Coturnix japonica: one gene and its partners. The protein of the gene in region 1 purifies or fractionates together with the protein of each later gene. This does not show direct contact. Links are inferred from orthologs where the notes say so. Each region holds a gene or a part of one and is shown on either strand. Other genes may lie near its edges.

Region 1 (4,877 bases):
ACTGCTATGGCAGATAAAATACATTCAATGCTTCTATTTACTTTGACTTTATAACTCTTGTTTCTGTGGAAAACATGCAAAAAATAAAGAAATAAAACAAAGGTATTCAGTTACATTATGCACAGTGGTGGCAGAACTCTAGATAGGATAGCCTACAAAAATTCGATGAAATAATCTTAGATTTACATCTCTTTAAGCTGAAAAAAAAGATTCCTGGACTCCATTTCTCCTCTGCATTGAATTTTGAGAGGCCAACCACACTGTTGTAAAGTAAATGCAAAGTCACTGTATAATACTATTAACACAGTGGCGATGCTGCATGATGTAACTACCAACACAACTGCAAAACAGTGGGAAAAAAAAACAAGGCTAAGACAGCTAACAGCCTGAACTTCCCTCCCCAGATCCTCCAGGCTTCTTTGCACAGATTTAGTCTCTTATCTTTGCACTCACCAAATCCTGAGGCTTCCAGACAACAGCAGGACTTGCAGCATACATTCAGTTCTCACTATCGGCACCAGGCAATTGCTGAGCAGGAAAGATTGGTCGTGCACAGGAACGCCCTCTCCCCATGCTGCACAGCCACACGCCTCTTCTGCTGGCACCACTGGGAGATCTCAAGTGCTGCAAAAGTTACAGATAAATGAAGCAGCAGACGGCTGTCTTGGTGTCTCACAGAATGACCTGGGTTGGAAGGGACCTCAAGGATCATGAAGTTCCAACCCCCCTGGGCCCCCTGTCTCACCCACAAAGCTATCATAAGCCACTCTTGGGGAGAGCAGGGTCTGCCCCAAAGCATCAGTTACCACAGGGATGTTATGAACCACTATGAAAACAAAGCCCAAGTACAGGCACAAGCTGAAGAAACGTCCCCCAGTGTTTTAACACCCATTTTGCTTTACAGCCTTCCCCAACTGCAATTAATTCATCCTTCTCCACCAACTCTACCTTGGGTATTAGTGCCACGTGCTAGAAATCACTATAACACATTAAAGGGCACCATAAAATAAATCAAAGCACACCAACATTACACAGTACAACTAGTGGCAAAGAAAGATTTGTGCTGATCTTCCTCATGCAAACACCTATAAAACTCTTTGAAAAGGCTGACAATAGCAGGACATGGGGAAATGGTTTGAAGTTAAAAGAGGGAAGATTTAGGTTGGATGTTAGGGGGAAGTTCTTCACTAGGAGAGTGGTCAGGCCCTGGAACAGGCTGCCCAGGGAGGTTGTGGATGCCCCGTCCTTGGAGGTGTTCAAGGCCAGGTTGGACGGGGCCCTGGGCAACCTGATCTAGTAAAGGTGTATGTTTGGTGGCCCTGCCATGCAGGGGGGTTGGAACTACATGATCCTTGTGGTCCCTTCCAACCCGGGTCATTCTGTGATCCTGTGGCACACCCACCTCAAGAGCTCCTCCCTCAGCTCCTCCCTCAGCTCCTCCTCCAACTCCTCCCTCAGCTCCTCCCGCCCCTCTCTCCTCACACCGCCCTTCCCGCGCACTGCACCTACACTTGCTTGCTCTCACTCTCCTCTACCAAGCTCCTCACTTCCCGCCTCATGATTGGCTACTCATAAGCAAGCCCCTCCTCCCTCCCTTCTCTGATTGGCCGCTGTGCCCACTCAGCCGTTCTGTTGGGTAACGCTCTGCAGTGCGGGCGGGTGGGCGGACGGCGGCGGCGCTGCCATTGGCGGGAAGGCGCGGGCCTGCGAGCTGCGCTGAGCCGGGCGGCGGGGCGAGAGACCGAGTGCTATTGTTAGCACAGCGCTGAGCAGCGGGCAGCCATGAGCGGCGGTGTGTACGGCGGAGGTGAGTCTGATATAACGACACTGTTGAGCTCCCTCAGGCCCGGCTCCCTCCCGCCGCATCGCTCCGTGTGTGAGGAGAGGAGGCCGCCGCGGGCCCAGGGTCCGTCCGACCCGTCTGGGTCACCTGCAGGGATGGGGCACACACAGCAGTGCCAGGGTCTCACTGCCCTCTCTGAAAAATTGCCCCCTAACATGCGACCTAAATCTCTTCCTTTAGTGTGGAACCATTCCCCATCGTCCTGTCACTATCAAACCATGTAGAAAGTCAGTTTCCCTCTTGTTTATAAGCTCCCTGTAAGGCTGCAACAAACTGTCACTGGCACCTTCTCCAAGCTAAGCAAAGCCAGCTCCCTTTCTCCATAGCAGAGGAGCTTCAGCCCTTTGATTGTCTTGACCCTCCTCTGGACTCACTCCAACATCTCATTCTTATGCTGGGGGCCACAGGCCTGAATGTGGTACAACAGATGGGACTTGGCGAGGGCAGGGCACAAGGGGATGGTCACCTTCCTTGCTCTGCTGGCCACCCCTCCCCTGATGCAGCTCAGGATGCTGTTGGCTTTCTAGGCTGAAAGCACACACTGCTGGCTCATGTCCAGCTGTCTGAGTCTCAAGTCCTGTGCAACACCTTGTACGTGGCCTTGTTGAATGTCATGAAGTTCATGTGGACTCGCTTCGCAAGCCTGTGTTTAGATGCAGCTCTCGTCTGTTAAAATTGCCCTTTTTCTTTTGCCAATGAAAGGTATTGCAGTGTCCTGGTTACAGCCTATCTGTAACCTCCTGGTGGCTCTCAGTTAGCTTGAATTCTGAATAGAGAAATTGCTCTGTGTCTCAGGAAAGATGCTTTATCATATTGGGCTTTTTTTTGTTTGTTTGTTTGTTTTCTGGCAAGCAAAGCAGACAAGAGATAAGTTCAGGTCAGGATTGCAGTAGAGCACAATAACCATTCACTACTTCTTTGTTAACAATCTTTGCAGATGAAGTTGGGGCTCTTGTTTTTGACATTGGCTCGTATACAGTGAGAGCAGGCTATGCAGGCGAAGACTGTCCAAAGGTAAGAATCTTTATGAACTCAGTGGGATTACAATTGGAGCTTGAACTTGTTTATTAGTCATAAGCTTCCAGAATATACTGTTTATTATTATTTAAGGAAAACTCTGAATTTTATTAGCCCCCTAAAAAACAAACCAATGAAAAACAAAACCAAAAACCAACAAAACAACCCACATCCAAAATGAATAACCTTCATCAATATTTTACCTTTTGCTTTACAGGTTGATTTTCCAACAGCTATAGGCGTGGTGCTAGAAAGAGACAATGGCAGCACTCTGATGGAGATAGATGGTGACAAAGGCAAACAAGGGGGCCCAACGTACTACATAGACACCAATGCCCTGAGAGTCCCAAGGGAAAATATGGAGGCCATTTCACCTTTAAAAAATGGAATGAGTATGGTGCTCTGTCTTTTTTAGCTGTCTTTAAGATACAATTGTTAGGCTGCAACAAGTCATAGCTTTCATGTAAACAGATGCTATCCATGTCAACTGTTTTTTCCTTTGGACTTAGAAAGCAGGCTCGTAAAGAAACGGTTCTGCTTTCACTTAAGATATTTTAATACGATAATGAGCATTTTTATGTCTTAATGGGAGACTTGTAGATTCTTGTTTATTTGATGGCTTTAATTTAGCTGTCTCCTTTGATAAAACAATTAAGAAACAAGTTTTTGGAAATAGTTCCTAATATTGTTCCTGTAACGTGTATGGACAGAGGCTATCAGCCATAAGAATGGCTCAATTTACAAAATGTCAGTGGACTTTTATTGTAACTTATTTATTTATTATTATTTATAATAACAATTCTTATTTGCTGTCATGATGCTTAAAAAAATATAGATGAGAATTTGGCAAAGCAGGAGGGGTATAGGGCTGCTGAGGACGGCTTTTGTCTGAAGAGCTCTTAGGAAAAAAAAAAACATCAGGAAAACTTTATGTGGATTTATGAAGTAGATCAAAAGTTAGAAGTAACTAATCTGCTTGCTTCGATGTCGTTGCAGTTGAAGACTGGGATAGTTTCCAGGCAATTTTGGATCACACTTACAAGATGCATATTAAATCTGAAGCGAGTTTGCATCCTGTCCTTATGTCTGAAGCACCAGTGAGTAAAAGGAGCTTTGCATTGTGAGGAGACTTATCAGTATCTTCTTGCTGAATCTATAGACATTAGTCTTGGAGAAACCCAGCACTGGCTTGTAGGTTATGAGTGTTAAAACTGAACTACAGAAGTAACATTTAAAAATATCATGCAGGTTCTGGAAAGTATTCTCAATAGGAAAAATGTCAAAAAAAAGCCCAAATTTGAAAGAATTTCTATGCGTTTCATTAGAACACACTTACTATGTGTTACTGTATTTCATGTATTTAAAAAAAAAAAAAAAAAAGTAGTATAAAATCAAAAATAACCTCACTTGACAGCACAGAATAAAAGCAAAAAGTTGTCTGAATGTCTTCATATATTACACTTAATCCATCTTTGCATGCAATCAGCCTGCCATCTAACGTGACAGGGAATAACACGTGTAGTGGAGTTTTAATTTCGTTTCAGCAAATGCTCCTGTAACATAAATGAGGTGCATGAACACAGATTTCTGGAGAAAAACGTGAACAAAGTTTCTGTCATTTAGTTGTGGAAGTGCTGAGTCACAGCTTGAAGCAGTGATTGAGCACCTCAATCACTGGGCAGGGCCAACTCAGGGATGCATTCAATGTACCAACCCCTTCCTAGACCTAATTTAAGGGTTGGCAGTGAGAGTCTTTTGTTGGGGATCCCTTTTACCTGAAGCTTCTAAGGATAAGTAGTTTTTTTTCCTTCATGTCTGTGTCTATGGCTGCTCTATTTGGGCTGGTTCTCATTTGCTGTAGCTGAAGGCTTTGCCACTCTGTTGTTATTGCTGTCTATCACATTAGAGTGTTATGCTTGAGGGGCATAAAATCTGAAGGCATTAAAGTAGACCTGTAATCCAAGAGTTTTGCCTACTTTCTGTAAATTTACTGTCTGTGCACTTATATTGAAGATAT
Region 2 (4,292 bases), on another chromosome or scaffold:
GCTTGTCTGGGAGAGTCCTTAAAATGGAATTCCTAAGAGGAAAGGAATCCATGCCAAGCCTCTCTCTCCTCTGACACTTTTGCTTAAGTGAGCTCAGTGCAGTTCTAGTTGGCCAGCTGCTATTGTCATTGGAGGATGAAAAAATATCCATTTACTAACCATGAAAACGTGCAGGCCTCCACATGAAGAGCCTGAACTCTGGCCATGTGCTGAAGGGCATCAGATCTACTGGAAAACCCCATCCTTGGAAGATGCCCAAGTCCACATCACAATTCCAAAACTGAGTGAAAAATGCAAGGGGAGTGAAAACTGTCCATTTTAGAGAGCTGACAGGGAAATGTGCCTCCCTTCAGAGCAATTCCCTTCTCCACCCTGAGAGCCATATGTCTGTTCTTCCACGCCAGAGCTTCACCTCACACAGCAGATCCACCCTCCTGGAGCATACATGATGCAAGCCCAGCAGAGAAGGAAAGCCAGACCACACAGCACTGGCAACTCAGGGCAAGGTGCTGCTCTGTTACCTGGCTGTGCTGACAAACAAGATGCTGTACTGGAGCTTTGAGGCCTCCTTCCTGCATGGTAACAAAACTGACCTTCAACACCACACCTATAGGGCCCAACAGCAACAAGGTCAGCCCTGTGCTCTGCTAATAAAGAAAACCCTTACAAACATCTTACCAAGATTTAATGTACATTTATTCTTAACACGTGGAACATATAGTATAAAGATTTCATACTGAATAAATGATATTCATTAAGCCAAAAAAGGAAAAAAGGGAGGAATTTACATCAAGTTTTTAGCTACATCGTCTGAAATACAAATATGCAGAAGTCATCACTGAAAAAATCTCAATTGTGTTTCTTCATCAGGAACTTCAACTGAACCTAGAACTTTTTCACACCTCGATTAGAAAGAAAACAAAAACAGGAAAAATAAAGTATAAGTTGATTGGCTGCTGAGACAGCAATGACTTTATACATGGAGACCTGTACAGCATCCTCCAGGGAGGGATGTCTGGCAAGAGATTAAATAATTGTGTCTCGCTTTTGCAGGTCATCAACTCGTTAACTCGTCATACTAGAAAGGGGTGGGAAAAGGCAAACAAAACTGCAAGGATTCTTAGGGTATGTGCAATGTACAACGTCATAGATATATACACACGTGGCAGCATTCAGGCTGCAGCTAAAGGTTAAAACCAGTTCTAAGAGGTGATCTCAGGGTTATTCATACAATCAAGGAGGAAGAGAGAAAGAGGTCAGGGTGTTGTAGGTTCACACATGATACTTTGGGGGAAAAGCCTTTTTTCTTCTCAACATTAACTAAAAACATTTTTAAAAACTACAGCTTGCTGCTGATCCAGCGTTTTTTTCTTTTTCCTTGTGAGACGGTATTACAGTATGTTTACAGTTTAAGGTGTACAGTACATGAAGTTCTACACGCTACTGCACAGGCCTCCCTTGGACAAGGTCTGTTCACAATTGGTAACTTCTTGGTTCCTGCAAGATTGTGAATATACAATGATAAACCACAGAGTTCAGCAGTCACTTTTGTCCTTCAGAGTTTACCATTAAAAACAGTTATGAAAGTGGAGCCTGTCAATGTGATAACACGGCAAGTCATTCTCCCCAAACTCACTGTAAACGACAGTAACTTTGGTTAAAATAAAAAAAACAACAAAAAAAAGTCTTCTATGTAGACAGAACTTTGTCTCCTTTAATAAGGGATTCAGGACAAATCTGAAGGGCAGGGGAAGGGGAAAGGGTATGGGGACATCTTTGCCCCAGGGAGAAGCAGGACAGCGCAGGGCAGACAGTGGATTCTGAGGTGGTTTTGCATAAATAAAGGGCAACAGTCAGTTTCTAAGTTTTCCACGCACGCACACGCACACAGGGTCTCGGATCCCACAGCTGTCATGACTGGCCAATTAAAAATAGTACATCACAAATAACTTGTGAAACCAAAGAGTTCATCAAAGGCGACACGGAGATGTCCAACAGCCGCGACTCGTACAACGTGAACTCTGAGTGGTTCTCGTCCACCTTGGCCAGGGCGAGCAGTGCCCGAGCAGCTCAGTGCATCATGTCCACACTTGTCGACTCAAAGGGCGCATTCTGCATGTGCATCAGGCTGGCCTGGCTCTGCTGGAACTGCGTGGCAGCCAGGCTGTCCTCCAAGAAACCCAGCAAGTTGCCAATGCTCCCCTCCTGCACAGCAATTGCTCTTGCTGCCAGGCTGTCCCCTTGTGCCAAGTTGGCCAGTAGTACCACAGCCATTTCTCGACACACTGGGTTCTTTCTGTCACTTAGGAAACGCACCAGGGTGCTGTACAGCTTCTCCAAGCGACTGAAAGGGGGAGTTGCAAGAATCAAATCCACGTTGTTGTCCTGGATGCTGAGTTTGCTGAGTGTTTCCAAAACCAGTCTCTGAGGGGAGAGGACCGCATTTGGCCCCAGCGTTGGAAAGGGGTCCTGAGCCTCTGCTGATGGACAAACTGCCCAGTGGAGGAGTCCATCCAAAATTGGCAAACAGATGCTTTCTGTGTAAGCAGACAAGTCTAGCTGCCCAGAAATGTTGGCTAATGTGACCAATGTATTATCCCTCAAGACTTCGAGGCAGTCCCACCACCACTCATCCTTGCTGCAGGCCACTCCTTTGTCCTCCTCTTCGTCCTTCTCATAAGTCTGCGGTGCCTGCTTGCGCTCCGGGTGCTTGTGGTGTAAGAGAATCAGCTTTCCCAGGATCAGCACCAAGCCTGGATGTTTGGACATTTCAGTGTCGTTGCCAGGCACAAAAGACAAACTCCTGATGATGTTGGAGACACAGATGCAGCGCTTCGCCAGAGAGTCCTGCCAGTCTTGGATAGTACAGAGGGGCGTCTCATCTTTACTGTGAGGTTCATCCTCCAGAATTTTTATATTTCTGTGACTCTGTGCTGGACTAATGCCAAATGGAAACTTACTTTCCTTCTCTGTTTCAGAAGCTTTGGCCTCTTCCTCCTCGCCTGATAATGAGCTTGGACATGCTGAAATCATGTCATCCATGGTGGCAGTTATTCTCTTCTCCGAGGAGCTGTCAGATGGAAAAGCTTCTTCCCTAGTGCTTGGATTGCTCTCAGCTGTTGCGCGTTTCCTTGAGACAGAATCGCAAGGTGCTCGTTTGTGAATCATAGGCAGTTCCATCTTGCTCTCAAAGTGGGTCTGAATGTGCTCAGTAGTGTCACCACCACCAATCCGCCAGTGCAGCAGGCCACTCTCAAACTCCTGCACTCGTCCCAGCTTGTCTGAATAATCAACCACAAACGGGTCATTCTTCTGCACAATCTTGATCGGAAGCTTGTCAAATTTACTAACTAATTTCTCCTCGCTGCACTCTAGAGGTGCTTTGTCCTTGCTTGAAAATGCAGCCTCCTCCTCTTCCTCATCTTCTTCTTCCTCCTCATACTTCAGGCTCCGTGGTTCCTCATCCTCCTCCCCTTTCTCATGAGAAGAAGCTGAAGATCTGCAGAACCTCTGGGGATCTAATAGTGTTCTTTGCCCTGGGTCTCCCACCTCATATTCCTTCAGGATTCCAAAGGTCTCGATCAGGCAGCGCCGGAAATACTCCACCAGGACTTCCAGCAGGCCTGGCAGCTATGGGGGAGGAGAAAAAACAGGAGGAGAAGGAAGGAAGAAAGGAAACAGTGATCATAAAGCAACTTAGGCCACTGTACAACTGGAAAAATACTGCATTAAGGGCAGAGATCTTAAGTAATGCTGTTCATTAATGAGATCTGTTCATGCTGGCAATAAGCTGTTAGCAGAAGAGAGCTTTCTGTCCTCTGAGAACAGAAACAAGGGGAAAACAGACCCTGACTGCCAGGATCCAACACCAGCACAGTCTACACATGCATACCTGCGCAAACACAGACACTCTTGGTTTCATCTCCTCTTTGATTAACACACAGAAAGGAGCAGGGCAATGCACAGTATTGTGGAACAGCTTTGACAACAGCCATGCAGGCACAAGGTAACTCACAGACATAGGCTGGCCCTCAGAATAGCACCCAAACCACACTGTACACTGACCCATGGGGAAAGACAGAGCTAGAGGTGAATGCCATTGCATCAGGCTAGGCAAGCAGCGTTCAATCCTTCACACCACTCTGCTGCAAAACCCCTCTTGGCCTCCCCACCATGATTCTCTTTCTAAGTCCCACCAGAGAGACTGTACACATGCATACCAACAAAATGGAAATCCAAGGGTCAACAAGCACTCAGTGCAGCTCCCCAGACCCAGCATGCTTTTCAGACCA
Region 3 (4,319 bases), on another chromosome or scaffold:
CCCTAATTACCCCCCCTCGCACTGTTTCTATTTTACGCTTTCCGAAATTTGACCAGAAGATTTGTAATGTGCACAGCGTGGGCTTTATCTTGCTTTTGGGCTGCCTACTGCATGTAACCCAAAGCAATCCTGATCCTTGGAAGATTGGGATGATTCCCAGAATAAATGTGAATCTCAGTCAGACAAAAACTGCAGTCACAGAAATCCCCATCCCACAGAATTCCCACAGCTGCCATTTACCAGCAGTACTGAGAACTCTTAGCAGAGCCGACCTATGGTTTAAATACCTCGCTGCCGTGACAAACACACTCTATTGCCTTCTTACTCAGCTTCTGTTTTTCCTTACACCCTCTCACCAAATGCAAGTGTGATCCATAAAACTCAGCGTGATGAACATTTAACCCATGTTTACATTGAGAACAAACTGATCATCACCGGCATCAAAACTCCCAGACATAAATGGCCGATGAACATCTGCTTTGTTGGTGAGTAAGATCTGGGAGAAACTGAACAGTTTTTCTCCATTAAGCCATGGCTAAGAAAGTGGACAGCACCTGCTCTGCATCTCCAATGCATGCAAAGCCCAAACTGCCAGCAGCTTAACTGTGTGTTTACGTGACTTGTATTAGCTCAGCAGAAAGGAAAAGAAACCTGTTTTGCTTATATTGCAGAACTTATCCCACCGGGCAGAACCCAATTAGTCCAATAACAAATCAACCAAGAAATACAAACAGGCACTGAGAGAGAGGTATTAACTGGTTCTGAATATAGTGGTGTGCATCTGGGGTTCCTGTTCTCTCTGCAAAAAGCTGTGTGCATTCCTTATGTCTTAACTGTTTAAATGCTAATCCAGACCTTTGGAGCCTCACAAATAATGCAAGAAGGACTCACACTCACCTGCTGTCCAAAGGGACCTGCGCCGGGGGCTGGAGTGCCTACCATGGGGGACACATTTTGGCCTATAACACCTATATTCCAAAATATACAACGATTAGTCTTACTTCAGAGCAGAGAGAAATACCTCTTTGGTCTTCTACAGTGCACATTCAGACTGAAATCATTGCTTAAAGCTACTTTGGGAACATTCAAACATCCCGCTTTCCCACAATAAGGAACACCTTGTTATTTTCTGTATGAACAACAAAAAAGGCACCAGAACAACTCCCAGCACTGATGTGCGGCCTGCTGGATTTCATTTCACTACAGCAATGCAAAGCTTCCTTTTCTCCTTTACGCAGTGTGGCCTGGCTACTTCATTTCCTTCATTACACCTTTGGCTTGACATAATCCTCCTGAAATCCTCATGAAGGGAAAAGCTGATTTGCGTTAGCAACACCCAACATTTCCTGGTGTTTAATGGTATAAAATACACCCATGGCAGGAAGAAAGCCAAGCCACTGCATAACTTCTGCATATAAATATGTACATAGATAAAACACCACGTACAGGTTCAGCTTGAATAGTCTCATACGAGACACAGGAAAATATTAGAAAAACGAAAGCACAAAGGCAGGTCAGTTTTTTCCCCAGCTCTACAAAGAGGCTTTTCCCTACCACATGGATATCCCCATGTACAGACCACAGTGTGCAGCCCCTGCTATTAGGCATACATTAAAATAAGCCATGCGTGTTGCCGCTTCTTTCTCTCCATGCCACTTTTTGTTTTAATTCCTTCATTTCAAAAGATGCCAAATAATAATTAAGAGTCTTCCTAAGGCTTGAATTTGCAGGCAGGTTTCTGCATCAGTGACCAGGAGCCGTGTCACTGCGCTCTTCATGCTAAAGCAGACTTCACGTTGATTTTCCATTCGATTACAACCCCCCATCTGAAATGCACCTGTACTAAGTCAGAAGTCGGGAAAAACACCAACAGTGCGAGCTGTGGGATGCAGCACTGATCTTTGTTGTGGTACAAAGGGAACAGGTCCGGAGGGGACACCCTCACCTGCCTCACCCTGAGCCCACCCAGCCCCATCTAACACCACCCCCATCCCTGGCACTGCTTTGCTCACACACGCAGCTCAGCTGGAAACACTGTGCAAAGAAACGTGCTGTCCCAGAGTCGCCTCCCAATATCTGTATGCTGCTGCTGCTGCTGCTGTGTGCTTACATGTCAGCACCACGGTGAGCTGCAGGCAAGCTCAGACATAGCACTTATCCTACCCTATGTGAATTTATGGTGATCCTTGCCTACTGGCGAAGATGCAAACTAACACTGACGGGTTGAAAAACAAACAAAAGCAAGCAAACAACATCCAACCATCACAGCGATCTGCAGACATACAGCTCCAACAGGGCTTCCATCAACACAGCTGCAGAGGGGCAGGGGAGGCAAACAGCACTTCTGCCCATGGCTTGTTTAACTGCCGAATGGATGCAATGCACATCTCTAACAGCCACCTGAGTCAGCAGAGGTAACTACTGGAAGAAGCCACAGGCAACTGGATGAGAGGGCAGGTGAGCATTTTTCCCCACAAAATGGCCACTATTGGCATTAAAGCCAGAAAATGTGGTATGATTTGTTCAGCCTTACCTGTCAACAACAGGGTGGCAAGAAAATAGCAAATGTGGAGTAAACGTGCTTTCAAAAAATCAGAGTTTGGTCCCAGTAGCAGTCAGTTCACCTCACTGCCAACAGCTCCCAGCTCCAGCTGCAAGGCACAACCCACACACAGTTTCATAGTAACATACAGTGGTGTGCAGTGGCCGATGGGTCCGACACCTCTGGGTGCATCAAAGTGCATCCAGAACGTTCATCAGCTCATACACTGAAAATGAGCTCAGTAAGAAATGAGGGAACACATTTCATTTCAAATTCCGTTTGAAATTCACTTATTTCACTCCAGTGTGGAGAGGGTGGCACAGGGATACGAACAAGCCGACTGCGGGTTGTCAGACATTTGGTAATTCTCAGGTATTTTTTTGGCTGGTACAAAAGCACTGATGGAGCAGCCTCACATTTCTCCAGTGGCCTTTTGCTGTTCCTCTACCAGGTGTGTATTCTGCCAATGGAATCGCTTTGCACCCCCCCTGCACTCAGCAATGCACCATCTGTGCTGCAGTTAAACAAACCTGCAGAAACAATTCACTGCGCTACCATCCAAACAAGCTGCAGGTAATTCCTGTAACAACCGTTAAACAGCACGTACATGACAATGAAACACAGAGCCAATGAGGATGAGTTCTTACCGGGCGGCGGGATGCCTGGGATGCCTGGCATACCTGGCGGGAGTTGGTGGGGTGGGGGCACCCCTGGGTGAAGTGGCTGCATGCTGCCCATGCTAACAATGCCATCAACTGGGCCCTGCAAAGGTGGCAGCACCGGTGGATAGCCACTTATCATGCCTTGAGGGACACAACAAATTTCAAACATGCATCAATGACATGCAATATGATCTATACAGTAAATCATGCACTATGCACAAAACAATAAAATGAAATCGAAAGCACCCTTAGTACAGCAAGACGAGACTACAATTAGTGTATCTCGAAAATGAAATACAGTTACCGATATGAGACACTACGCTGTGGATGAATTAGTATTTAGTGTATTCGTACATTTCTCATGGGGGCAACAAATGCTGAATACTGAGACGTGTTAACACGAGGAATAAACTCAGCCACAATTAAATGTTACTAACAAGCGCTTTTAACACAGCTCAAAGCTCTGCCATCTGCATACAGGTTGCAAACACGACACTGACTACACGAGCCCTGCACACCGCCTGGCGCGTGGGCCGGCTCAGAGACCTGACCACAACAAACAAAGATCTGTACGTTTTTCTGCAGCGCGTATGCAAAATTTACACTGAAAAGCCCTGGGACACTCATATAGTTAAAATGGAACGTGGTGACAGGGGTGACTGTTCTCACACCATGTTCAGTACACATTAAGGAAGTCACTACGATGTGAGGCCGGGGAGCGCAGGCTGTGCAGGGACCTGCACCCACAGCACTTGACTGGAGGTAAAAGAGCCGACAAGGGACTCATCCGGCCCCTCACCGAATATTGTTCCCACTGCTCTCAAAGCATCTTAACAGGGAACACAAAGACACTGCACTGCTGCTCTTAATTTTGTTTTTCAGCACGTAGGAAGAAGACTTTAGGGCTCATTCTGGATTTGACTTGGGTTCACTGCTATCCTTTAAGTGAACCTAGACAGTGTAGATATGATAGCTGCTAGAACTTAAACTTGACTATATTCTTGCTTATTTTCTACGCTTTTAAATCAGAGAAACAAGGAAAGGTGTTGGAAAGACATCAAAAAGATTGAGAGGGGACAGAAGCAGGTCCAGAGAAGAAAGGTTAGTTCAGAAAT

What was found. Proteins that work in one complex are often made in the same cells at the same time.
Region 2: the proteins of ACTL6A (region 1) and ARID1A purify together in Homo sapiens (affinity purification with mass spectrometry; 5 studies listed by BioGRID and IntAct, with this or other methods). This does not show direct contact. The link is inferred for Coturnix japonica from reciprocal best matches to the Homo sapiens genes ACTL6A and ARID1A.
Region 3: the proteins of ACTL6A (region 1) and PBRM1 fractionate together in Homo sapiens (co-fractionation; 4 studies listed by BioGRID and IntAct, with this or other methods). This does not show direct contact. The link is inferred for Coturnix japonica from reciprocal best matches to the Homo sapiens genes ACTL6A and PBRM1.

Annotation. Positions count from the first base shown.
Region 1 is NC_029524.1:15,354,268-15,359,144, reverse strand, and holds the start of ACTL6A (actin-like protein 6A), read left to right. Parts: upstream 1-1,644; 5' UTR 1,645-1,782; coding exon 1,783-1,807; intron 1,808-2,780; coding exon 2,781-2,857; intron 2,858-3,077; coding exon 3,078-3,252; intron 3,253-3,856; coding exon 3,857-3,957; intron 3,958-4,877.
Region 2 is NC_029538.1:45,976-50,267, forward strand, and holds the end of ARID1A (AT-rich interactive domain-containing protein 1A), read right to left. Parts: intron 3,631-4,292; coding exon 2,071-3,630; 3' UTR 675-2,070; downstream 1-674. UniProt on the Homo sapiens protein: Involved in transcriptional activation and repression of select genes by chromatin remodeling (alteration of DNA-nucleosome topology).
Region 3 is NC_029527.1:336,765-341,083, forward strand, and holds part of PBRM1 (protein polybromo-1), read right to left. Parts: intron 3,346-4,319; coding exon 3,190-3,345; intron 969-3,189; coding exon 898-968; intron 1-897. UniProt on the Homo sapiens protein: Involved in transcriptional activation and repression of select genes by chromatin remodeling (alteration of DNA-nucleosome topology). Required for the stability of the SWI/SNF chromatin remodeling complex SWI/SNF-B (PBAF).